Arabidopsis thaliana: one gene and its partners. The protein of the gene in region 3 interacts with the protein of the main gene of each other region in a biochemical or structural test. Each region holds a gene or a part of one and is shown on either strand. Other genes may lie near its edges.

Evidence for each region.
Region 1: the proteins of KAPP (region 3) and CRK6 form a complex in vitro, tested with the Arabidopsis thaliana proteins (one study listed by BioGRID).
Region 2: the proteins of KAPP (region 3) and CLV1 form a complex in vitro, tested with the Arabidopsis thaliana proteins (4 studies listed by BioGRID, with this or other methods).

The regions. Positions count from the first base shown.
Region 1 is NC_003075.7:12,118,465-12,125,604, reverse strand, and holds CRK6 (cysteine-rich RLK (RECEPTOR-like protein kinase) 6), read right to left. Parts: upstream 4,223-7,140; 5' UTR 4,209-4,222; coding exon 3,365-4,208; intron 3,221-3,364; coding exon 3,086-3,220; intron 2,983-3,085; coding exon 2,861-2,982; intron 2,761-2,860; coding exon 2,550-2,760; intron 2,458-2,549; coding exon 2,220-2,457; intron 2,147-2,219; coding exon 1,978-2,146; intron 1,892-1,977; coding exon 1,568-1,891; 3' UTR 1,400-1,567; downstream 1-1,399. Other genes in the region: CRK5 (cysteine-rich RLK (RECEPTOR-like protein kinase) 5), read left to right, coding at 5,471-6,287, 6,363-6,503, 6,574-6,695, 6,785-6,995, 7,070-7,140.
Region 2 is NC_003070.9:28,461,945-28,469,844, forward strand, and holds CLV1 (Leucine-rich receptor-like protein kinase family protein), read right to left. Parts: upstream 5,028-7,900; 5' UTR 4,709-5,027; coding exon 2,119-4,708; intron 2,040-2,118; coding exon 1,687-2,039; 3' UTR 1,400-1,686; downstream 1-1,399. Other genes in the region: AT1G75810 (uncharacterized protein), read left to right, coding at 1-180.
Region 3 is NC_003076.8:6,484,691-6,493,985, forward strand, and holds KAPP (kinase associated protein phosphatase), read left to right. Parts: upstream 1-3,628; 5' UTR 3,629-3,759; coding exon 3,760-3,903; intron 3,904-5,047; coding exon 5,048-5,237; intron 5,238-5,412; coding exon 5,413-5,613; intron 5,614-5,718; coding exon 5,719-5,894; intron 5,895-5,979; coding exon 5,980-6,138; intron 6,139-6,227; coding exon 6,228-6,371; intron 6,372-6,458; coding exon 6,459-6,520; intron 6,521-6,979; coding exon 6,980-7,118; intron 7,119-7,228; coding exon 7,229-7,323; intron 7,324-7,444; coding exon 7,445-7,474; intron 7,475-7,806; coding exon 7,807-7,922; intron 7,923-8,009; coding exon 8,010-8,142; intron 8,143-8,227; coding exon 8,228-8,282; intron 8,283-8,360; coding exon 8,361-8,492; 3' UTR 8,493-8,749; downstream 8,750-9,295. Other genes in the region: AT5G19270 (reverse transcriptase-like protein), read right to left, coding at 927-1,969, 2,265-2,319. UniProt on the Arabidopsis thaliana protein: Dephosphorylates the Ser/Thr receptor-like kinase RLK5. May function as a signaling component in a pathway involving RLK5. Binds and dephosphorylates CLAVATA1 (CLV1). Functions as a negative regulator of the CLV1 signaling in plant development.

The DNA of each region.
Region 1 (7,140 bases), on a different chromosome or scaffold from region 3:
TTACGACTTTAAAGTCAGTCGTCAATCAAACTCAATGTACTGTATACGATTAATCTTTTTTATGTCATTTTTATTAACAACAAAAGTAAAAGTTATTGGAAGAAGACGTTGAGTTTAGTGTTTGGAATCTTTGGATCATTGATCCAAAAAAACATTTGTTGAGCAAAACCCAAAAACTTAATCATTGTTTCTCCACCTCTTAAATAATATGGGAGTTTGGTTTCAACTTTCAAGAAATGAGAGATTTTTAAGATTGTAGAGAGTATTGTAGTTATAGAATAATTTTAATATTGTAAAGGATATCCACAGTTTTTTTTTTTTGTTTTATGAATAAAATTTTACAAACAATATATATTTTAATGAAACTTAAGCCTTTGAATAACACAATTTTTAATGGAGTTTAAAAATCATGAAAATTAATAAAACTTAAATTTTATGAAGAATATCAAAATCCATAAAACAATAACAAAATAATCTCAAAAGTTGTGAAGGATCCATCTAGATGTATGAAAATATTTTATATAAAAAAAATTGAAAAATAATTTATAGGAAAAAGTGCAGAAGGTATGAAAAGAGATGTGAGTGATATAAGTCTAGGCATATTTGTAAAGTTCCTTGTTTCCAAAAAAAAAGACTCTAAAAATCAAAGCCTATTTCTTTGTAGGCGAACCTTCCACTGAGCGCGTTGATTGGTGCTGATTCTAAATAAGGCTACAAACTGAATCAACTAGGGTTGCGAAATGACTGTTTTAACTTAATAACTGTTCCGTTTGTTACTTGTATGGTAAGGAAGTCTAACGGTGCTGTCTTATTGACCCAAAGTTTCGGCGCCAAGCAGAATAGTCATCAACTTATTAAATAATATTCAAACCCAATATTTTTTATTTTTCTCGGAAATAGATTGATAGACGTCAAAACCTGGAATTTTGTAATTCTATTTTCTCTGGTTATCTCTTCCACATGTTTTATTAGTCTAACATTTAAATTCCTCGTGTAGATGACTTTGTCTTTCAAAATATTGTATTAGTTATTAGTTTACTTTACAACAAGAAAAAAAAAAAAAAAACTTTTGACGTGATAGATAGTTCACATTTCATTTACTTCACCACATTACAAATCATGTAAATCACCTTCCCACTGTACTCTGTTTAGTCTCTGTTTCCAAATCAAATGGTACAAGATCATTGGAGGTATTGCTAAAGCGATTCTAGAATGATTCAAGATCATAACCATACATTGTGACTTCAAAGCAGGTATATATCCTCTTGGCTCTTAGACGCTGAAATGAACTCCAAAGTTATAGCTTTTGGATTGCCCAAATTTTTAAAATGAACCAAACTGTAATGCCAACATTCCAAGTGTTCTCTCCCTCTCTCATTTTTTTCAATCGGTGGTGATGTTGAGACTAGACTAATTATTCATTATTAAAAAATCAAAACAAAATACATATGGTTTTAACAAACCAAATCAAAACTAAAAAATTATTAGGGTTGATCACATCCACAATTCTACAAATATGTAAACATTTGCGTAAGCTTGATTACAAGCATGAAGTTTAAGGTCATATTTAGCGCGGATATAAATCTGTGATCGATTCATCATCAATAGACGCTGGAAAAGACTTGGTCGTGGTAGACTGATCTGAATCAAGCGGGTCCTTTACGGCTCTACATTGAATGAAAAACCCTGGTTGCCGAGGCACTGGTAAGGTCACAGTATTACTAGTGAGCATCATGAAAACGGTTGATATTGCCGGACGCTTTGCAGGATCTTCTTGAACACATAAAAGACCGATATGGATGCATCGAACCACTTCACTATTCTGGCAATTCTCTGCTATAAGTGGATCCACGAGGTCTAATGCTTTTTTGTTAGTCCAAAGCCTCCAAGCCTTGAATACCAATCAAGCAATCAGTTCTAGCTAACATTACTTAATGTAATGTAAGAGAGGTATATATTGATTGTCTTAAAACTTACATGTGTGAGCAAGTCTTGTGCACCGTCTGACTCGCCGAAGCTGCTATTCTTCCTACCACTTATAATCTCAAGAACTAACACTCCGAAGCTATAGACATCAGATTTCATTGAGAATTGGCCATGCATCGCATATTCAGGAGCCATGTAACCGCTGGAATCCACAACAAAACTTTAGTGTATATGTTGGCAATGTAAAATGTTCAACATATTATAAGTTATGAGATGTTAAGTGGAAGACTTACTAGGTACCAACTATTCTGCTTGTGTTATCTTGGGTTTGGTCCAATCCAAAGATCCTAGCCATTCCAAAATCTGCAATTTTCGGATTTATATCCGCATCTAGGAGAATGTTACTTGCTTTAAGGTCACGGTGTATGATTGTGAGCCGTGAATCTTGATGAAGATATAGAATCCCCCGAGCAATTCCTCCAATGATATTGTATCGCTGCATCCAGTCCAGCTGAATTTGCTTTGTAGGGTCTGTGCAAATCCATGGATTACAGTTAAATCTTGAGATTAGCAACCCCAAGTTTCAAGATTAATGGTCAAAGAATCATTGAAATGCAACAGACCAAATAGTAAGCAATCAAGGCTTTTGTTAGGCATATACTCGTAGACCAAAATTCTTTCCTCTCCTTGTAATGAAAATCCAAGAAGCCTAACCAAATTTCTGTGTTGAAGCTTGGCAACTACAACAACCTCGGTCTTGAACTCCGCTTCGCCTTGTCTTGAATTTTTCGACAATCTCTTCACCGCAACTTCTTTCCCATTTGAAAATGTACCCTATCCGTTTAACTTTTTAATCAGCATCATCTCGTTATCCAATCAAAGAATCAATACGAAGTACTTAACCTAGGGTGTACTTGAAGATATTATAGTATACCTTGTAAACCTCACCAAAACCACCTCGACCAATCTTATTACTCTCTGCAAAATCATTTGTTGCAGTTTGGATTGTTCTATAGTCGAGCTGTAGTGAGTCTGCGGTTGCCATATCATCTCCTACTGCACAATAAACAGAACAAATGTCTTAGTAATCAGCTAAAGAGGCTGATGAATGACGACCACTAATATATCAAACCTAATTAAGATTGTTAGTAATCTTTACCCTCCGATGCAGATGCTGTGTCAAAAGTCTTCTTTTTCTTTTTTGCAAGGAAACAATAACCAACTAAAGCTATGAAAAGCAGAACAGCCAGCACAACAACGGCTACCACTAACACTGTTGAGTTCCCACTTTTCCCTGCTTTTTAAAGATCATTGGCTTAAGATCAGATAATGCCACAGAGTATAAAAATACAAAAATTAATCAAAACAACAAAACTTTCCCTACTAGTATTTCAAGAAAGCAGGGGAAATAAAAAGAGAGGACGGAGAATGAGTTCACCAGGTAATGAAGAAGATGATATCGGAGGAGTAGACACCAACGACTCCCTCGGTGGTGGTGGTGGTGGTGGTGGTGGTAGTGGTGGTGTTTCAATGGCGCTTTCATTGTAGAACGGGTAAAGCTCGTACCTTGCAGTACAACTCGGCCAGTAAAGTCTTGCTCCTATTCTGGAAAGAGCCATTCCATTGATGGAACTTTGCAAACAACTCAAGCAGTCTGCTCTTGTAAGATCAGGAGTGCACTGAAGCAGCCCGTACAAATTCTGGTATGCGGTCAATTCGGTATTCACCGTATATAATTTTCTAGAACTGTTGGCTGCTTTACCGGCAGCTTCACTCATCGTGGAGGAAACAAAACTTGTGAACCCGTCTATTTGTTTTTGATTAGGAGAAATAGTGTTGGTGTTACTCAAGATAAATTCTCCTTCGTTTGTAATGGCCGTCGATAGAATATTCTTGTGAGAATATCTGAGTATACATTGCTCGTAGTAAAACACGGCTTCTCTTACCTTGGGACAAAGATTTAAGGTTTGATTGACAGAAAAGGCTACGCAGTTACGGCAAACTTCCGGTGAGACGTCTCCGCGGCAAAGGAAAAGTCCGGTGACTCTGTCGGGGGCTTTTCCTGCAGTGGCGTTTTGGAATCCGGTGGAGTAAGAGGCGTTACGTGAAGATAGAGAGGACAAAAGGGTTCTGAGATTGGTGGAGTAAGTGCTGTTACTTGAGTAAGTTGTCGTATTTGGACAATAATGATTTAAGTAAAAAGGATCTTGAGCAGAAGCTGTGAAGGAGCTAGTGAGGAATGAGAAAAGGAAAAGGAAGTTGAAAGATATAAGAGAAGACATTGTTTGAGTACCTTGATTTGAGTTTCACATCATAGAGCTCCCATTTATAAGCTGATCACTAGCGTGTAGTATAAGATGGGTTGTGGTGACTATAAGAGTCAACAAGTCAAAGTAAATGATTCTTTTTCTTATTATTGTCATTTCTCTTAAACAACATATATTTTTATTTGGGAAAAGCCCACGTTAAAATTAACTTGAATTTGAATCAAAATTTAGTTATTTGATCAGTGATCCACATATCACCAGTTGAGCCCAATAATGAGTGTATAAACGGGAGCTCCTTAAAAGTTGGGAACCACTAGCCTACTACAACTTGGTATTAGAAACAAAAGGAATTCAAGAATGAGATTCTTGTTGTAGCAAAGCTTAACGCAGAATTTCGGTCAAGCTTCGATTTTTCTTAGTTAAATTACTTCCATTTTTGTTTCATAATATTTTAGTGCCTGACAAGTAAGTGTAAGATACTCTTGTCTAGAATTTTATTTACTAGAGAGTGAAAACAAAAGGGTGCAGAGAATTAATGGCTTATCTGCTGATTCTTACACAATCAGTTTGTTTTGTTGGAACAGAGATGTGATAAGTAAGTACGGTTTTCTGCAGAAGCAAGAGAGTTTGTGAGGAACAGAGAGATGAAATGATGTAAGTAGGCAAGTTTCAGTTCTTTGTTTCCCAAAATGACTCTAAAATTCTTATACACAGTTGTAAAGTTCAGAAGGAAAAGTACTAAAATATGAAGTCAACGACAATCTTTAGAGTCAACCTTCCACTAAGAGTGTTGATTGGTTTGATGAAGCAGTGAAGGCTAGAAACTGAAGCAACTAGGGTTTGGGAAGTTACTGTTTTAACTTGTAACTGTTCGTTTGTTACTTCTTTGGTAAGGAAGTAAAACGGTGTTGTCTTATTGACCCAAAGTCTCCGCGGCTTGCTGAATAATCACAAACCTATTAAATATCCAACTCCAATAGGTTCATCTTTTTCCGGAAACAGATTCATGAAAACTTAAAAATTTATAATTGTATTTTCTCTGGTTTTCGCTTTCACATGTTTATTCTAACATTTTTATAGTTGATTCATTTTAGTTAACATCAATACAAGTTGATGTTACTCGTCTAGTTGACCTTGACTTGCAAGATATTGTATTATTTTACAAAAACCAAAATTTGACTGGCTTGGCTGGTTTCACATTCATTCATTAGTACTCATAAACCAATCATTAAAAGTAAGAAAAAAAAAACAGAGAAGAAAGGTGAAGAAATTGGATAATGTCTGCTTATACCTCATTAAACTTTCTCTTCCTTCTAACCTTCTTCATTGGAAGCTTGAGAGTTTCTGCACAATTACAAGACCCTACTTACGTTGGCCATGTTTGTACTAACAGGATATCAAGAAACTCCATTTACTTCTCAAATCTCCAAACACTTTTGACCTCTCTTTCTTCTAACAATGCTTACTTCTCTTTGGGATCTCATAGTCTCACAAAGGGTCAAAACTCCGACATGGTGTTCGGACTTTATCTCTGCAAAGGAGATCTCTCGCCAGAATCTTGCCGTGAGTGCGTCATCTTTGCTGCTAAAGACACTCGGAGTCGATGTCCAGGTGGGAAAGAGTTCTTGATTCAGTATGATGAGTGCATGCTTGGATACTCAGACAGGAATATATTCATGGATACTGTAACCACAACTACAATAATCACTTGGAACACTCAGAAAGTTACGGCGGACCAATCTGACCGGTTTAATGATGCAGTGCTTTCTCTGATGAAAAAGTCTGCAGAGGAAGCGGCTAATAGTACAAGCAAGAAATTCGCGGTTAAGAAGTCGGATTTCAGTTCGTCTCAGTCGCTTTATGCATCGGTTCAGTGCATTCCTGATCTGACTAGTGAAGATTGTGTAATGTGTCTTCAACAATCCATCAAAGAATTATATTTCAACAAAGTTGGAGGAAGATTTCTTGTCCCAAGTTGTAACTCAAGGTACGAGGTTTACCCCTTTTACAAGGAAACTATAGAGGGAACTGTTCTTCCTCCGCCGGTTTCGGCTCCTCCACTGCCACTGGTTTCAACTCCTTCCTTTCCGCCTGGTTAGAGCTCTGTTTTATTTATTTACCTAATAGTTAGTTTGGTTTTAGTTCATGTCTAATCTAAGACTTATGCAGGAAAAGGCAAAAATTCTACAGTGATAATCATAGCAATTGTTGTGCCAGTCGCTATCTCAGTTCTTATTTGTGTAGCTGTTTTTAGCTTCCATGCATCAAAGAGAGCAAAGAAGACTTATGATACACCAGGTGCAAATGATGGTAAAGATTCCAAAATCTATGTGTCCGTTGCTTAAACTTTTATGGATTTGAATTCTTAAATATTTTGCAGAAGAGGATGACATCACAACTGCAGGGTCACTGCAGTTTGATTTCAAGGTTATTGAAGCTGCAACAGATAAGTTTTCGATGTGTAACAAACTCGGTCAAGGTGGATTTGGACAAGTTTACAAGGTACTACTACCGGTTCATTGAGTTTCCTTGTTACTTGCATAAGAGGATCAAATAAGGGGATGGCTCTGTTTAATTCACAATCTTTTTAGGGCACACTTCCTAATGGAGTACAAGTTGCCGTGAAGAGACTATCGAAAACATCAGGACAAGGTGAGAAAGAGTTCAAGAACGAAGTTGTTGTTGTGGCAAAGCTTCAGCACAGAAATCTGGTCAAGCTTCTTGGATTTTGTTTGGAGAGAGAAGAGAAAATACTTGTCTACGAGTTTGTGTCTAATAAAAGCCTTGATTACTTCTTGTTTGGTAAGATTTAGCTTAGGAAAGATATTTCCTTTTGGAACTCATGTTTTAGGTATTCTAACTATATGGATGTGCAGATTCTAGAATGCAGAGCCAGCTGGATTGGACTACACGGTACAAGATCATAGGAGGAATTGCTAGAGGAATT
Region 2 (7,900 bases), on a different chromosome or scaffold from region 3:
GAGGCGGTTTCTCGGTACAATCGTGTTGGTGGTGAGGAAGATCTTAGCCACCACCGTCACCATCACGACGGTGGTGCGATTTGTAAAGGAGGGATTTGCTGGCACGGCGTTGCGGTTCGGTCTCCGGCTTCACAGGTTCGATTTAGGCTTCCACAACATATACCTTACGGTGCTTTCTGAGTATATAAACTTCGAATTTTCCCTCTTTATTTTGACTTTTGTGAAGTAGATAACATGTGTTAGATATATACGTTTCTCATAGATTTTCTGTGTAATAGATGATGATGAGGAATAAGGTAATGGTGTTCTTCTTCTTGTAAGTTGGAAGGTTTTTGTTTGTATTGATATGTTGTAAAATCGGATAGTGATTGTGATGATTATAGATATGATGTTCTTGTTTTTAAAAGTAAAAATGGATTTTGAATTTAAGAGCTGCACTGTTATCCAAATTTGAATGTTGATACTCGAGTCTTACCACTGAATGAGGATTGTGGCATTGAGAATTTTGGGGGATTCTTAATGAAGAGACTAAAACAGAGTAATCTAAATAACATGTGTTCGGAGTTAAGGAATAAGGTAATGATGTTCTTCTTCGTGTAAGCTGGGAGGTTTTTGTTTGTATTGATATGTTGTAAAATCGGATAGTGATTATGATGATGATAGATGTTCTTGTTTTCTTTATACAATCGATTTTGAATTTTGAGAGCTGCAGTGTTGTTTAAATCTGAATGAAACTCAGGTCTTTCCAAGTTAATCAAGATTGTGGCCTTGAAAGTTTTGTGATTTAAATTGTATATGATTCTTAATGAAGAGACTAAAACAGAGTAATGAAGGATCTTGTTTCTCTACCTTAATGAATTTGTGACTAATTTGCCTTGTCTTCTTCTCACACCCGTTTATAAGTTGTGACTATGTGCCTTGTCTTCTTCTCTGAATTGCTCTATGAATGGAGGTAAGAGTTATGGATAGAATTAGCTTCACAGCATCATCCTCATCTTGTGGGAAAATGCACATTATAGAGGTTGAATTCTGTTGTTCATGAACTTTTAAAGCTTCTTGGTTGTTGATTTCTGTGAATTTTTCCGGTTTCTTAGTTTATGTGTGTTTTGCTTCAAGAGCAGAAACTACAATGTTATGACCCTGAGGTGATTTTCTTAGCTCGTAAAAATATGAGAAGTGAATGACCCCCAAGAACTCAATGAAACTGGTCATTATTCCAAATGCAGAGTACGAGTCCAATCTCTTAATCAACCATTAGTCTGTTGATTCCGTGTTTTTTTTTATCAGATGTGTTTCCTTTTTATTTTCCGAGCCATCTGCTGGTAAATACTTTGTAAGTAAGGTCAAGATTGCAACATGACACTGTCGGAAGCTAACACAAACCTGAATTTAGATATGACCCTAATTCACATATTCTAAACAGTCTAGACTTAAATCCAGAGGTCAAAGCTCTCACATTCTTTTATTTTATACACTCTGAACGGAGAATTAGCTAAAGTTTAAAGCCATCAAGCAATAAGCATATTGATTACATTACATACTCGAGATAATAACACATAAAGAGGTAATATACAAATTGAAACACAACAAATATACAAACCCGAAAGTATTAGAAACCATAAATAAGAACACCCAAAAAATGATCACCACATTTCGCATCTTATTTTCATATTTATCTTGCTTGGGTCAGAACGCGATCAAGTTCGCCACGGATTTAGGAGGGTTAGTGAGCATGTGCACAACTTCCCTCATCGTAGGCCTTGCCGCGGCTTCTTCCTCCACACACATCATTGCGATCTTGAACACATGAATCACACTTGTCAACGGGTAACCAGTCAACCTCGGGTCAACAATCGCAACAACAATAGCAGCATCCGATGGCTGAGTTATCTCCTCTTCCGTGTTCCTCACCCACCTAACTATATCCACTCCTTCTCCAAATTCACCAACAGGTTTCTTCCCAGCTATTAACTCCAACAAAACCACTCCGAAACTATACACATCACTCTTCTCGTCCACTTTCAAGGTATATGCATACTCTATGCAAACCAAAAACAAAATGATAATCAGAACATATATCATTTTGGTGAGTACTAATGTTGTTGACATGTAACTAACCTGGGGCGATGTATCCATAAGAGCCAGCAATTGAAGACATACACTCAGAAGCAGCACCATCAACTAAGAACTTAGCAAGCCCAAAATCAGCAACATGGGCTTCAAAATCAGAGTCCAAAAGAATGTTATTGGACTTAACATCTCTATGCAAGATCAATGGTGAACAATCATGGTGAAGATAACACAAGCCCTTTGCAGCTTCCACGGCTACTCTATGTCTCGTCTCCCATTGAAGATGACCACCTTTAGATCCATGCAAAAGCTCTCCAAGGCTTCCATTAGGCATGTACTCATAAAGAAGGAGATTCGTATCCTTGTTCGCTACGTAACCAAGAAGTCTCACTATGTGACGGTGGCGGATTCTCCCCAAAGTTTGAATCTCCGCCGTGAATCCATGATCGCTCCTCCCGGTCCCACGGCCAACGAGTCGTTTAATCGCGACGTCTACGTTGTTTGGCATTGATCCACGGTAGACAATTCCAGCTCCGCCTTTACCGATTATGTTCTCTTCTTTAAGACACTCGAGAACGTCTTCAGATTTGAAATCTAGTTTCTGGAAGGCGGTTAGTTTCCAGGCGAGAGATTTCTGGTTCTTCTTCTTATTCATCTGACGAATCGCTACACTGATTAGGATCAAACCGGTGATCGCTGCGATAACCGTGATTACGATCCTTGACGGTGAGAACAACGCCGTGTGATTGTGATCGGAGGTTTGTCCTGGCCGTGTTGGACAAGAGACACGGTGAGGGAGACAGAGGTAAGTGTTTCCGGCGAAGGAAGTTTCGTTGAACACCAAGAATTGACCACCGAGTGGTACTCTACCGGAGAGATCGTTGAAAGAGAGATCGAGAGTTGTTAAACTCGTCATGTTTCCGATTCCGGTAGGGATTGAACCGGTTAATTGATTACCGGAGATATTTAGAGTTCCTAAGTTTTTCACGTTGTTGATCCCTTTAGGGATTTCTCCGTTGATTCGGTTACGGCTGAGATCGACGGAGATTAAAGTTGAGCAGCGAGAGATTGAATCTGGAATACCGCCGGTGATGTTGTTCGCACTTGTGTTGATCCTCGATAAATGCTTCAATTCGAAGATTTCTCTCGGAATGTTGCCGCGAAATCGGTTCCGATCTAAGAATAGAGTCTGTAGATTGGGGAAATTACCAATCGCAGGTGGAATCTCGCCGGAAAACCAGTTGTTAGAGAGGTAAATCTGATCGAGAACATCGCCGGACATCGTTACCGGAAGTTCACCGGAGAAGAAATTATCAGTGAGTTCGATAATCGTAACTAACGGTAGATTGAAAAGCCCCGCCGGAACAGTGCCGTTGAGAAGATTCTTAACGATTCTGATTTTGGTTAAGGATTTGCATTTACCAAGCTCTTCTGGAATTGGACCAAAGAAGAAGTTGTTAGAGAGAATTAACATCTCTAATTTCTCACCTCTGCATAAGTCCTTGGGGATAAGTCCGGTGAGATGATTATCAGAGACATCAAGCTTTATTAGATTCCCGTTCCGGCCAAGATTCGCCGGTAATTGTAACGTGAAATTGTTCTCCCATACTTCGAAGACTTCGAGTTTTGGTAATTCTCCGATGGCCTCTGGTATTTGTCCGTAGAGATTGTTTCTGAAGAGATTGATTAGAGTAATGTTTCCGAGATTGATGAAGCTTTGAGGGATTTCTCCGGTTAACTGATTGATTGATAAATCGAGAGATTTCAAGCTGACTAAACCGGAAAGCTCCGGTGGTATATGACCGGTTAAGTTGTTGATGTGAAGAAACAGAGTATGTAGATGTTTCAGGTTACTTAAACTCGTCGGAATCTCTCCGGTGAGTGTACAGCTCGCCATGTCGAGGATCTCAAGCTTTGTTAAACCACCGAACTCCGGTGGAACACCACCGGTGTAGCTGTTGTAGTAGCCAATATACATTTCTCTTAAGTTCTTGAGGCGGGAAAGAAACGCCGGAGATTTACCGGAGAGTCCAGCTCCGTTGAGACCAAGATACTCTAAGCTTTGAATATCTCCATAACTCTCTGGAATCTCTCCGCTGAAGAAATTTCCACCGAAAGAGAGGTATTTAAGCTTCTTAAGCTCTGACATCTCCGGTGGTAACTTACCGTTGAAATTGTTGTTATAAGTGTCAAGAACTTCAAGATCAACCATAGCTTTTAAAATCTCTCCAGGGAATGTTCCAGTAAGGTTACCATTGTTGGAGATATTCAAAACCTTGAGAGAAGTTAGACTCTTCATCTCCAATGGTAATTCACCGGTGAAGTTGTTGGCAGCTAAAGTTAGATTCACCAAATGAGTCAACATCCCAATCTCTGGTGAGATTGTACCAAACAAAGGAGTGAAGGAGACGTTGAGAGAGATAACACGAGCATCGTCGTCACATGAGACGCCGGAGAAAGAACAGTGAGCATCCGGAGAAGATGAGTGAATCCAGTCGTGGAGACCGTGTCCTTTAGGACCAATCATGGAGGATTTGAGATTGAGAAGAACTTCCATGTCAGTGTAAGCGAAACATGGTGAGAAAAATAGATACAGATGCAGAAACAGAAGATGAGTCTTCAAAAGTCTCATCGCCATTTTTTTAGTGTCCTCTCAGTGAGAAAGAGCGAGAGAAAATAATAAGATAGCGTGAGTGTTATGCGATAGGACACAGAGACATGAACAATGGCATATTATGAAGAAGAAGATGAAGAGAATCGATGTGGTACTACTGTTCTAAATACCGTAAGACTTTGTGAGCGAATATATACTTTTATGTGACTTTACATAAATATTGTTATTATTAAAAATAATGCGCCAAAATACTTTTATGTGTTCATTTTTCAAATTATCTTGTAAATCTTGTTATGGTTACTGTCTTAAGTAGATTTATCATTTGTGAATAGAGAAATTTTACGAAAATAAAAGATAATTAAGGTACAATTGATCAGAGAACCATCTGCTGATCTTGCAGGTAGATAGATACAAACTATACGACTTATGGTCAAACACATACGTCTCAGTCTCTCATTGGCTATTTTTACATTCGATTCTTTTATAACGAGTGATCAATAATATTGCTGAGATTGTACTTTCAAATTTGGTCACACACTATTCAAACTCTAAAATCACTGGAATTACACTAGAAAGGCAGTTTTACTGGAGTCAAACTTTAGAGTTTTTAGTAGCCGCCACTACTACACTTATTAGACATGGAGAAACGGGAACGTCGTCGTTTTCTTCTTCTCTGATAAGTCTTCTGACACGATTTGTTTTGGCTTCATCAAACAAAAATCAATAGATAAGAGGTTCACGGCGTTTTAAATTTAACGGTGTAGAGATGCATCTCTTCTTTAACATTGACAGATCTTTATCTAAACGGCGTTGATCTGACCGTTATAAATGCTATAGACAGGACATAACGTTACGTTCCCTAGAGCCTGTGGTTTCTTCTTTCTTTCTTCTGTCGCCGTCTTGTCAACGGCACCAGTTATATAATCCGACGGCGTTTATAGCATCGTCGTCACGTGATGGGGAGAAAAGAGGAATAAGAAGACAAGGAGAGAAGTAAATGGGCTTTAATTAGAAGTAGGGCCTATTTTTCTAATTGGCCCGTATAGAAAGTCTGTCTGTGTCCTTTTCCTAAAGAGACAAATTTGCCCCTTGTGGTTTTTTTGGCTTTAACTTCCAAGTCAACGCTCTTTCTTGTATTTTGTCTTCTCACTTCTCGTTCATTCATACACTCCACTCACCGGTCTGTCACCATACAGACCTTCTGCTTCAAGGTCCCCACGCTCTATGTTCATATTTTACCTTTGTTTCGTTCGTGTGACTCTCTTGAAAACATTAGGGATTTATTCACTTCGGTCCATTTAAGATTTGATCGTGATTAGTCCAAAGTCCAAACCGATCAAATTAATAGCAACTGCCGATACCAAATTATATTCGTTTTGTAATCGGTGATTCAGAAAAAAGTTCAATGTATATAAATTCGTTCGTAGTGTTGATATTAGGACAAATCACTAGTTTGAAACTAAAGATACTAAAAACTATTTAATGTTTGAAGTTTTAGGTTTAGTTGTTAATACTTTTGGCTGAAAACGTGTCAATTTTGTTGTTAATGATGGCAAAACGAATAGCAAAATATTCCTAATGAATTAGGCCGAATGATATGATTAATATGCTTAACTTACATAAGTGAATCTTTCTTAATTATAAGTAAGCACCTTAAAGCAGTTTTTACAAGATCGATTCTGCCACAATCAAAATCGATTCTATCAACAATCTAACAATAAAATAATAATAGTTGTGAATTAATGGTCTGCCGTTATACAAGCACTATGGTTCTTGGCGAATATATCTTCATCCCGCTAACAATTTTTTTAGTTTGATAGAAAAATATATCAGGTGCTTTAGCAACAAAAAGGGATTTTAATCTTTAAAGAAATCTATACACTTGGGGTTGACATACACTTGGGGACCAATGTTCTATTATTATTGCGGTATATTGGTATAAAGGTCCTTCCTAAATGGCAGCGAATTTCTCATATTAATAATCTTTTGTGCATTCTCTTTTAGATATTATCTTATGATATACATTAGATTAAGAAGTAAACGCTGAAAAATATGCATACTTAGCAACAAATAAATGTGCTTTTTTCTCGTGTCTATTTGGTTTAACTTAAGTGGATTGAGAATCAGATCAACAGGTACAAGTGCAACCTTTAAAACAATGAGATGTCAATTAGTGATGAAGAAGAGAGCATCTCTTATGTGATTCGCTGAAAATGCTCTAACTCAATGAACTTTGGGAATAAAGGTTTAGGTTCTCTTCAGCAGAAAAGGAGCTCTTTTTAGTAAGTGGGAAATTTTATTATTGTAAAAAAGAATCTCTAAACTTTGGATTATTTTCTGATGTAAATAGTATAATATACATATAGGAGAATAATATAACGACATATAGCAACGATGGAAAATTTATCACCAAAAATCATGTCATCTTTATCACTAAATGACTCAAGGGTGAAAGAACTTTGGACCAATTTCTAGATGGATATCAATAAATTTGTTGAAATTAAATTATACGAAAGGGAATTAAACTGTAGAAGCTTGGTTCACATGTTTGATTTTCACAAAAATGTTTCGATTTGAACTTGCCATAGTACAATTTGCAACATATGCTTCTTTTACTCTGTTGTTTGCGTTATAATAAAATCGTCTCAAAATATTTAAAAATCATATGCAATTTGATTTAAGAATAAATTTGGAACTGTTTAGAAAGTTAGGTACCCAATTCATATACTTATTAAATACAATAAATAAATCATAAAGTTTTATATACAGATGCACCAATTGTTTATAGATTATCTGTATACACAATTACACACTCTACTAATCAATGTACTTTAGCATAGAATAATACTTTTACTTCTACTAAGCTTGTTTCACTAATTATAATGTTTAGTTAGAGATAAAACCATTGAAAAATCTCAAAAAGTAATAATCAATATAAACAAATAGAGAGAGCAATGATAATAATAAGATATATAGGTCATAGTCTTGTCAATCATGTTAATGATAAAAACGACAAGGCTACAAAAGTAGTAGTAGAAGTAGAAGAAGAAGATGATGATAGTGAAGACAAACTTGTGTCATAAGTGGTCTTACACAAATCCGTCTTGGAAACTGGTGTTTGCCTAATGGCCCTGCTGGGCTTTTGCTTCAGTCATTACCGAATCCTCTTGTATTGGCAGCTTTAATCCCAAATCTATTCAACTCATGCAATGATTT
Region 3 (9,295 bases):
ATAATTAATGTAGAATAGAGAAATCTCTCTTCATCATACAATGTCATTAAAGATATCCCACACATTAACAAAGAAGTTCTTACTAAATCCCTAAATCAAATCAATATAATGCATTCTTGCTCATCAAAATGCAACCCTCAAGAATTCAACATCTTTACGGTACAATAGGGAAGACAATGTCTAATGACTCTTCACATTTCATTGAACATATATAAGCAGAAAAATTTCAAACTATAGTTGCAGAAATTTCCAACCCGTATAAAGAAAAGAAAAAAATGAAACATTCAGGCTCATATGCAATAACAACGTCGAAATAATGAAATTTCAATCATCTACATGATCATGTAGTAGAGTGCTCTCAACCGTTGGATTAATTTATACATTTTCTATGTGTAAATGTGTATCATGATAGAAAAGGCACGCACCAATGGAACATCTGGGTAACGACGTAGCAATCAACCACATAATCGACGATCAACATTGAAATCTGAGTACGCGCGACTAACGAACGAAACGTTTAGGGTTTGCAAAATTGAAGGTTGAAGAGACGAAGAACGGAGACAACGTCATAGGGAACGGTTACGTGGTATTAATCTGAGCATCGGAATGTGAGCCATGTGACGACGTGGCCTCCTCTTCTCTTCCCGGAATCGCCATGGAAACAAAAATAAAATTTCTTGGAACGAACTAGCACATGTGCCACGTGTCACACTAGGCTTCTTACATTTTTTTTTTATAAAAATAATTAAACTGGAAAATGGAAAAACAAATAACAATTCATAAAAACTGTAAATTTAAAAATATATCTTCTTCGTCTTGATGATTATACATAAACATAACTTCCTTAAACAATTACTAGGTTTTTTTCTTTTTCTTGTTGCATGAAATATAAAATTGCAAAAACATAGTAAAAGAGAAACAAATTATCAATAAGAAAAACACCACGCCGGTCCAGCTTGAGCCTCCCTACAGAACCGATAATAAAGCCAGGCCGGTCCACCTTGCGGCTCATTATGGAACCGATTATAAAGCCAGGCCGGTCCACCTTGTGGCTTATTGAGTAAACCATTATGAAACCGGACCGGTCCACCTTGTGGCTCCCTACGGAACCGATTATAAAGCCATGCCGGTCCACCTTGCGGTTCATTACGGAACCGATTATAAAGCCAGGCCGGTCCACCTTGGAGCTCATTACGGAACTGATTATAAAGCCAGGCCAGTCCACCTTGCGACTCATTGCGTAACCCATTATGAAACCGGGCCGGTCCACCTTGTGGCTCACTACTTAACAGATCTTGAACCCAGTCCGGTCCACCTTCGTCCTCATCAGCACGTAACCGATTACGAAGCAACGCCAGTCCACGTTGCGCCTCACTACGTAACCGATTAAGAAGCCACACCGGTCCACCTTCAGAAAGGTACGGGTTAAAACGACCATCCCTTGTAACACTCTCCGCAATGTCCCGTGCAATGGAATTAGCAGGACAAGACACCAGCTCAAAGATGATAAAAGGAAATGATTGACAAGCTATGAAAATAGTATCGAGCCACATTGCATATCGAGGCCAATCCCGAGGATTATACAAGGCAGCAATTGCAGCTTGACAATCCGAAGAGATTATCACGTTTTGCAAACGAAGATCTCGTAAGCTTTTAACCACCCACAAGATACAACGCAACTCGGCCATGATCCTATTTGAAGACCTTGTAAAAGCATCTCTTGCATGGTATAGAGCCAAACCATTAACATCACGAGCAATCCAAGCTACCCCACTCATCATGTCAGCATTTCCCCAATGAGCATTCACATTACACTTAACAATTCCAAAGTCTGGAGGAGTCCAGTTAAGATCCAAGCTCGTCCCCCGAACAAAGCATGCGCCATATGTATCTATCTGTCGCGCATTAAGCCACCGTTCCTCTTCTTCAACCCCTATGGATCCTTGTACACTCAAATCCACATGTCTACCTGCAAGCAATTTATCATTTTTATTAAACAAATTAAAGATAAAATTTCTGAATTATTAGTTAGATACAAGTTACAAGAAAAATTGCAAAATTCTAGCTATCGTCTTTTTAAAAACAAACGTTAGACATTAGGCTAATTGTATAGTTTATGATAAAAGGACAACGACATCAAATTAAAAAGATTACAAAACTCATTAGCCATACAAAAGTTAAAAACTCACAAGAGTGTTAAACACAAAATTGACAAGAACCATATAGATTTAAATTGATATATCAAAGAGAGAAGGTTCAGTTACGATTTATGTGTCCTCTGTGATGAGCAATCATGACTTGAGAAGTAGACAATAGCATCGTCTCTTGAACCTTGTTTAAAGGTCTGACCGGCCGTTTTGTTAACCAACTGAAAGATTCTAACAACAAATTTTCTTATATATATGCTTTACCAATTGTTGTCTTTGAACAACCATAAAAAACAAAAAACAAATTGAGAGTTCTTAAATACACAAAATTGAGAAGGTAGTGAATGAAGACTATTATTATGTTACCAAATTATATATTCGTATATGTTTACCACATTTAAAGCATAGTCAATAAAAAATAAAAACGTTACCAAATGGATAATATATTGAAAGTTGATTAGTAAGTATCATTTATGTAATTTCCATCTCGTGTATGCATAATTGTATGCATATTGGTATTATAAATTCATATGGGACTTTAAAAATGGAGTAGTTGCATTTGTTGATAAAACAAAAGAAAATGGAAGTTCTCTCTGATTCAAGAATAAAGGTAACTGTAACATGTTTTATACTCACATAGACATTTTTGATTACTATGTTTTACAAGATTTTAGGAAAATGACTTGTGTGCGTGTGTGTGCTTGTCTGTTGCATAAAAGAGAAGAGCACAAGACTGATATTTACGATTGGTATATTAGAATGCATTATACATTCATGTTTAAATTTTACTGCATTAGGGATTACATTTTGTTATTTTTTGTGCTAACTAATTTATTTTGATTAGTAATCATTTATCACAACGGTAAGAAGTACTATTCCGTTATTTCTGTTACCCTACAAAAAGCAGTAAGCTTTTGATTAATAATCATATATCGCAATGGTAAGAAGTATACTGTTATTTCTCTTATCCAATTCCTGCTTTTGATTAGCAATCATATATTGCAATGATAAAAAATAATCGGATATTTTTTGTTACCAAATACATAAGGCGGTAAGATTAACAATGCCAAAACGTTACCATCGTTATTTTTGTACCTCTATATTATACCAATTTTTCTAGATGTTACTCGAAATACATCTAAACATAAATAAGTCATCTCGATCGAAAAACTTTTCATTAACAATGAGATTTCTAGAATCATATCTACATATCACTTAAGTCTTCAAAAACATAACCTTTTTCTTTACAAGATTCTTGATAATTCTAATCTATTTAATTTGTTTTTTTTCAAAAAATTAAAACCATAAATCAAGTGTAAAAAACAAAAAAAATCTCATAATCTATAGCGTAATCCACATATTAACCAATAGTAACTCGTGGAGGTGATAATTATATAGCTTAATCCAACCCTAGCCAATCATGTAAAGCGTTAGGGATAATGTACTCTTAGAGTCTATCGACCAGTGAAAATAAAAAGACAGTGAAAATACGATAAGAGAAAGAAAAAAAAAAAACAGAGAAGGTAAGAAAAATTCAAAGCGAGGTTCTCGGGAACCAATCTGGAAGGAGGAGGGGTGCAGAGAGAGAGAGAGAGAGAGAGAAGCGAAGACGATGGCGATGATAGGGATGAACATTATTGGGCTATTCATGGTTCTTATGTTGCTTCTCATCTCCCTCATCATCCTTTTCGCCTGCAAGCCATGGCGATATTTTTCTCGTTTCCGATCCTCCTCTCGTTTTTCTTCTACCTTCAAGGTTTCTTCTTCCTCTTCCTCTTATCTCATTCTCTATTCAATTTTCAGAGTCTTCGTTCCACGGCTTCGTTTTTTGATTTTTGATTCGATTTTATGTCGGATGGTTTGTTTTCGCGAAATGATCAATTGATAAAGGATTTGATCATCAGTGACAAGTGTTACGTCGCTGGATCATGATGCTTTTCTCGTGGATTCCGATAGTAGTTGGGGTTATTTGGCGATTTCGTTGATTGATTTTGTCGACGTGGGGGCGGTGAGATATATATTGTGTGTTTGGTTTCTGAAATAATCTGATTGACTTTTTGGAGATGATAATGTGTTGTTGAGTTTTCTCACTGTTGAAAAATTAGGATTCTTTTGTTGTTGTTAGATTCTTTTGAAGCTCAAGAGTTGATAGATTCGTTTGGTTTATAATGAGTGTGGCTGGATTTTCTCTGCCTGCTCGATTTGCACAAAATGGTTTTGTTTGAATAAAGCGTAATGGCCGTTTCAGCTTCTTTTGTGTGCTATGTTTTCTTCTTCTTCTCTAGCCATGGCTAATTGACATTTTCAACGGCTCAAACTGTTGATGTGCACTTAGACAGACATTGGAAGTAGGGAACTCTTGTGAATTTGCTTGCGAAAACTGTCGATTTGTTTCTGAATTTGGACATTGGTGCTTATATATTAGGCAATGTGAATGTTGCCAAGAACTCAGTTTCAGTGTGGGAAATTATCGTGGGAGAACTTCTTCCTCATTAGTTACCTTTTTGTAGGAATTCTGTGAGTTTTGTTTTTTTTGTATTTTTGTCTTTCTACCGGAGAAATGGTAACAAATGAATGAAAAAGGTGAAATCAGCTGTTCATTCATTTCCTAGCTCTGTTATACTCTACTCCTTACTAATCTAATAGGCGGTTTTACTCTCACTGGAAATAGGATACAGCTCATCCATCTAGTCTTTTCGCTTGTAGATTTCATTTGTTTGCAATTTCTCCATAACTTGGATAACATACTAAAATTGTATAAGAACTAAATCCACCTTATTATTACTACATTCTTCATATAGGGAAATATTGAGTTTCTCATCTTTCAGCTATTGAGTATCCAGTTTACGCAACTTTTTTTTTGCTCCTAGCCCTAATTCTTTCAGCGCCATTGTTTGCAGGTGGGGGATTTGCAGAGACCACTTATTTCTGATGATGGAAATTTGATCCAAGGACAAACCAGTGAGGTAACAAGGGAATATGATTTAGAGGGAGCTTGCTACCAAAATGATGGACTTTTGCATTCATCTCTGACTGAGGGACGGTTTTACAAACAAAGGCTTCCTTCGTCATCTCCCCATTTCTCCCAAGGTACTCATTGCCTCTTTCCTCCCCTGCTATGTCCAGCTCTGGTAGACAAGTTGGATTGACTCTAGATCATTAGCGTGATGGAAATGATACAGTTGTATCAGAAACATCCTCTTTGCATTATGAACTCTATGCATCACTCATTCTTGACCTTACCAATCTGCCCTAACTTATGTAGGTGAAAGCTTTGTTCTAGAAGTAATTTCTGAACCTTCTGACAATGCTTTGGTGGGCCAAACGCTTAAACTTCCAGCTGAAAAAGGTTCCTTGGCAGAAGTGCAAACATATGACTGGCAGAATAACAGAAATGAAAACTTGCAATATAATCTGGAAAAGGATCGACTTATTAATCTTTCTCCGAGGCTCGTGGAAGATCAAAGTAATTTCTTATTCTTTTGCTTGCCTAGGGTGTGTAATACAACTTCAATCCATTTTTTGAATTACTTGTGCAAGACATATATCATATTTTGTGTTAGAAGTGCAGGAAGTTGGCTGTTCCTGGAAGTCATCGCGGGTCCTGCCATTGGGCTTCAACATGCTGTGAACTCCACAAGTTCCTCCAAGCTGCCAGTGAAACTTGGAAGGGTTTCTCCTTCTGATTTGGCATTGAAGGACTCAGAAGTCTCTGGGAAACATGCACAGATAACATGGAACTCTACTGTAAGGAGCTATGTAGATTTATTTATACGACTTCTGCATGCCACTTCTTACACTGTGCGTCACACCTGCCTGGTTTTGATTTCAGAAATTTAAATGGGAGCTGGTAGATATGGGTAGCCTAAATGGAACTCTCGTAAACTCTCATTCAATAAGTCATCCTGATTTAGGCAGCCGGAAGTGGGGTAACCCTGTCGAGCTTGCAAGTGATGATATAATAACTTTGGGAACAACAACAAAGGTCTATGTAAGTCAATCTGAGTGGTGAAGGTGCTTGCTGGTAATTTTTTTTGTTTCCCTTGTTAATTTCATGCAATTTCTTTTCATCTTTGGAAGGTCCGTATCTCCTCTCAGAATGAGTTTCAGATACCCTTCAAAATTGGTGTGGCCTCAGATCCCATGGCTATGCGTCGAGGAGGCAGGAAACTTCCGATGGAAGATGTTTGTCATTACAAGTGGCCGCTTCCTGGGGCTAATAAGGTTACCTTGATTAGTGATTTGAGTTGTATGTATGATGATGGGCTTCGCTGCTTTTGATAACATAATTCCAAATGTATATGGTTTCAGTTTGGACTGTTTTGTGTTTGTGATGGACATGGGGGATCAGGGGCTGCTCAATCCGCAATCAAGTGAGTCTTTCTTAAAAAAATCCAAATCACCTCTATTAACTATTTCTTTTATAAAATCCTCCTCGATAGGTCTTATTTTGGGTTTTCTTTGTATGCTTAACCTACGAAATGTCCTAACCTGAAAAAGGCTGCGGTTTTGGCTGTGTTTAAACTTCTAACAGCATCCGCCTTTCTGAGTTTTTCTTTATTGTTTTTGCTTCATTTATTAATCAACTTCTTATGTAGTTTAAAATTTTTAGCTGCATGTGATTAGCCATGCAAATGTGTTACAGTTAGGGCAGGCGTGGTTACAGCCGGGAACAAATATATGAAACTTTGTTCTGTTCATTTTTGTAAATGGGCTTAGTCATTATATGTTAGGAGCCTTCACTAACTACTGGAGCATCTTTGATTTACTTGTGTCTCCAACAACGGCAATTATATACTTGAATATATAAGCTAATTAAACTTCTTCTCCAGAATTATTCCGGAGGTTCTAGCGAATATTTTATCAGACTCGCTGAGGAAGGAGAAAGTGTTATCAAAAAGGGATGCTTCGGACGTCCTTAGGGACATGTTTGCTAAAACAGAAGCTCGCCTCGAAGAACACCAATATGAGGTATTTCAGTTTGTCCTTTTCTTTTCCTTTGATGGCATGTTTGCCTTCTTGACGACTTGGCTGGAACTTTTTCATTGCTTCCTACTTAATGAATTAGTTGATCGATGCAGGGTTGTACAGCTACTGTTCTCTTGGTTTGGAAAGACAATGAAGAAAACTTCTTCGCACAATGTGCCAATCTTGGGGATTCAGCATGTGTTATCCAGTACGTAAAAAATATTATATTGCTATTCTTGAGATTCGTAGTTGCTGAGCTTGCATTAACCAGACTTGTAGCAGCATTTCTTGGTGTAGAAAGAGGGAGGGGACTTGATTACTCAGATTAGAAACAAAGATCTTGCGTGTTTAAAGCGTGAGTGAGTGTGGTCTTCTTAATGAAAACCTCTTGGTTTGGAAACAGTAGATGATTACTAATATAGGCTTTATAGTAGAGTAAATAGACATCAATAGATGAGATTGTTTCACGTCGGAGTAGAATTTTTTTGGATAAGAAAAAGAATATTTGAATGTCGTTGCTTTGCTTTGTGGAAATAGAAAGAGAGTTTATCCCTACATCTTCCTTGATACGGATCTTAATTAATAATAAAAAATTCTGATAGTTGTTTTGCTCTTAGGAATTAATGGTCTCGGCATTATAATAGTAACTTCGACTTTCTTAACTGATTACGATTTGGTTTGCATTTGGCAGTCTTGGTGGCAGATATATACAAATGACTGAAGATCATCGAGTGGTTAGCTTGAGCGAGAGAAAACGATTCCAAGAAGCAGGACTAGCCTTGAGAGATGGAGAGACTCGGCTTTTTGGTATTAGCTCAATGAATTAAACACGCTCAGGTGATTGCAACTTCTTTGTAACAAAATGACCAAATCTGATGTGATAATTTTCTTCAGGTATAAACCTTGCGAGGATGCTTGGAGACAAGTTTCCAAAGCAACAAGACAGCCGTTTCAGTGCAGAGCCATATATAAGTGAGCCTTTGCGTATCGATCAATCTAGTAAAGACGTATTTGCTGTATTGGCTAGGTAAAAAAACATAAACATAAACATAATAAGCTTTTTCCCGTTTTCTGATTCTTGCTCGCTAATTTTTGAAATCCGAATACTGCAGTGACGGGTTATGGGACGTGGTAAGTCCGAAGAAAGCTGTGCAGCTTGTACTTCAGGTAAAATCAATTTCTACTCGTTGAGACATTTGCTATGTCTGAAAACGTCGATCTCATGTAATGTTTATGTTATGGCAGATGAGAGATAAAGAGAGAGGGAGAGAGAGTAGTGCGGAGAAGATAGCAAACGGTCTGCTGAATGAAGCTAGAGCGATGCGTACAAAGGACAACACCTCCATTATTTACTTAGATTTCGATACTTCCCTGTAATGTTAGGAAACATCTTTTAAGATATTTGGGAAGTGTCTTTCTTTTGTGTACCATCTTTTTATGTATTAGTATTTTTGTTAGGGTATAAGAGAGACAAAAAAACCTCAGATGCAGAGATTTAGGATGGATCGTCTTGGTGAGCGACATTGGTTTCATTATCTTTACTTATATAATTAATAATATTATCAGTTAAAGTTTCTGTTTCGTATTTTATTCTTTGGTGAGAATGAATTTCATCAGACAATACAACTTATCAGTTTAGTATGGACTATGGAGTCCGTAATTCTGAGTATTCATTGGTACTTTTGGATTTCGATTTTGGTTTTTGATTTTAGTATCAATACGGTTATTCTAGAGTTTCGGTTCAGTTTTGTTCCAGCTATTTCAGTTTTGTTCTTTTTACGATGTGTACGCAGGCACCAAAATAATACTATTTTGACTGTTGTTCGGTTAGAAGTAGAAAGAAAATCACAGATTTTGTAATAAAAATCTGCCTATTTTCGGAATGAACACGTATACAATTTTGACTGATATATATGGAATGAACCAAAATAGTCAACAGTCAAGAATTTCAAGAGATTTTGGGATTCTTTCCTCAAGTAATCTTACTACCTAATCTGAGTTTTGACTCAATAAATTTTAGTTTAACTTCCGTTTTAAAAATTGGAGTTGTTGTTCAACCTTTTGCATCGTACTAAAACAAATTAAGAAAAACAGAACCCCAAAAAGATTTGAAATTGAAAACAAAGCGGGCCCAAAAATCAGGAGTAGTTCGAGCGTCCACACTAAAAGCATGTGTCCCA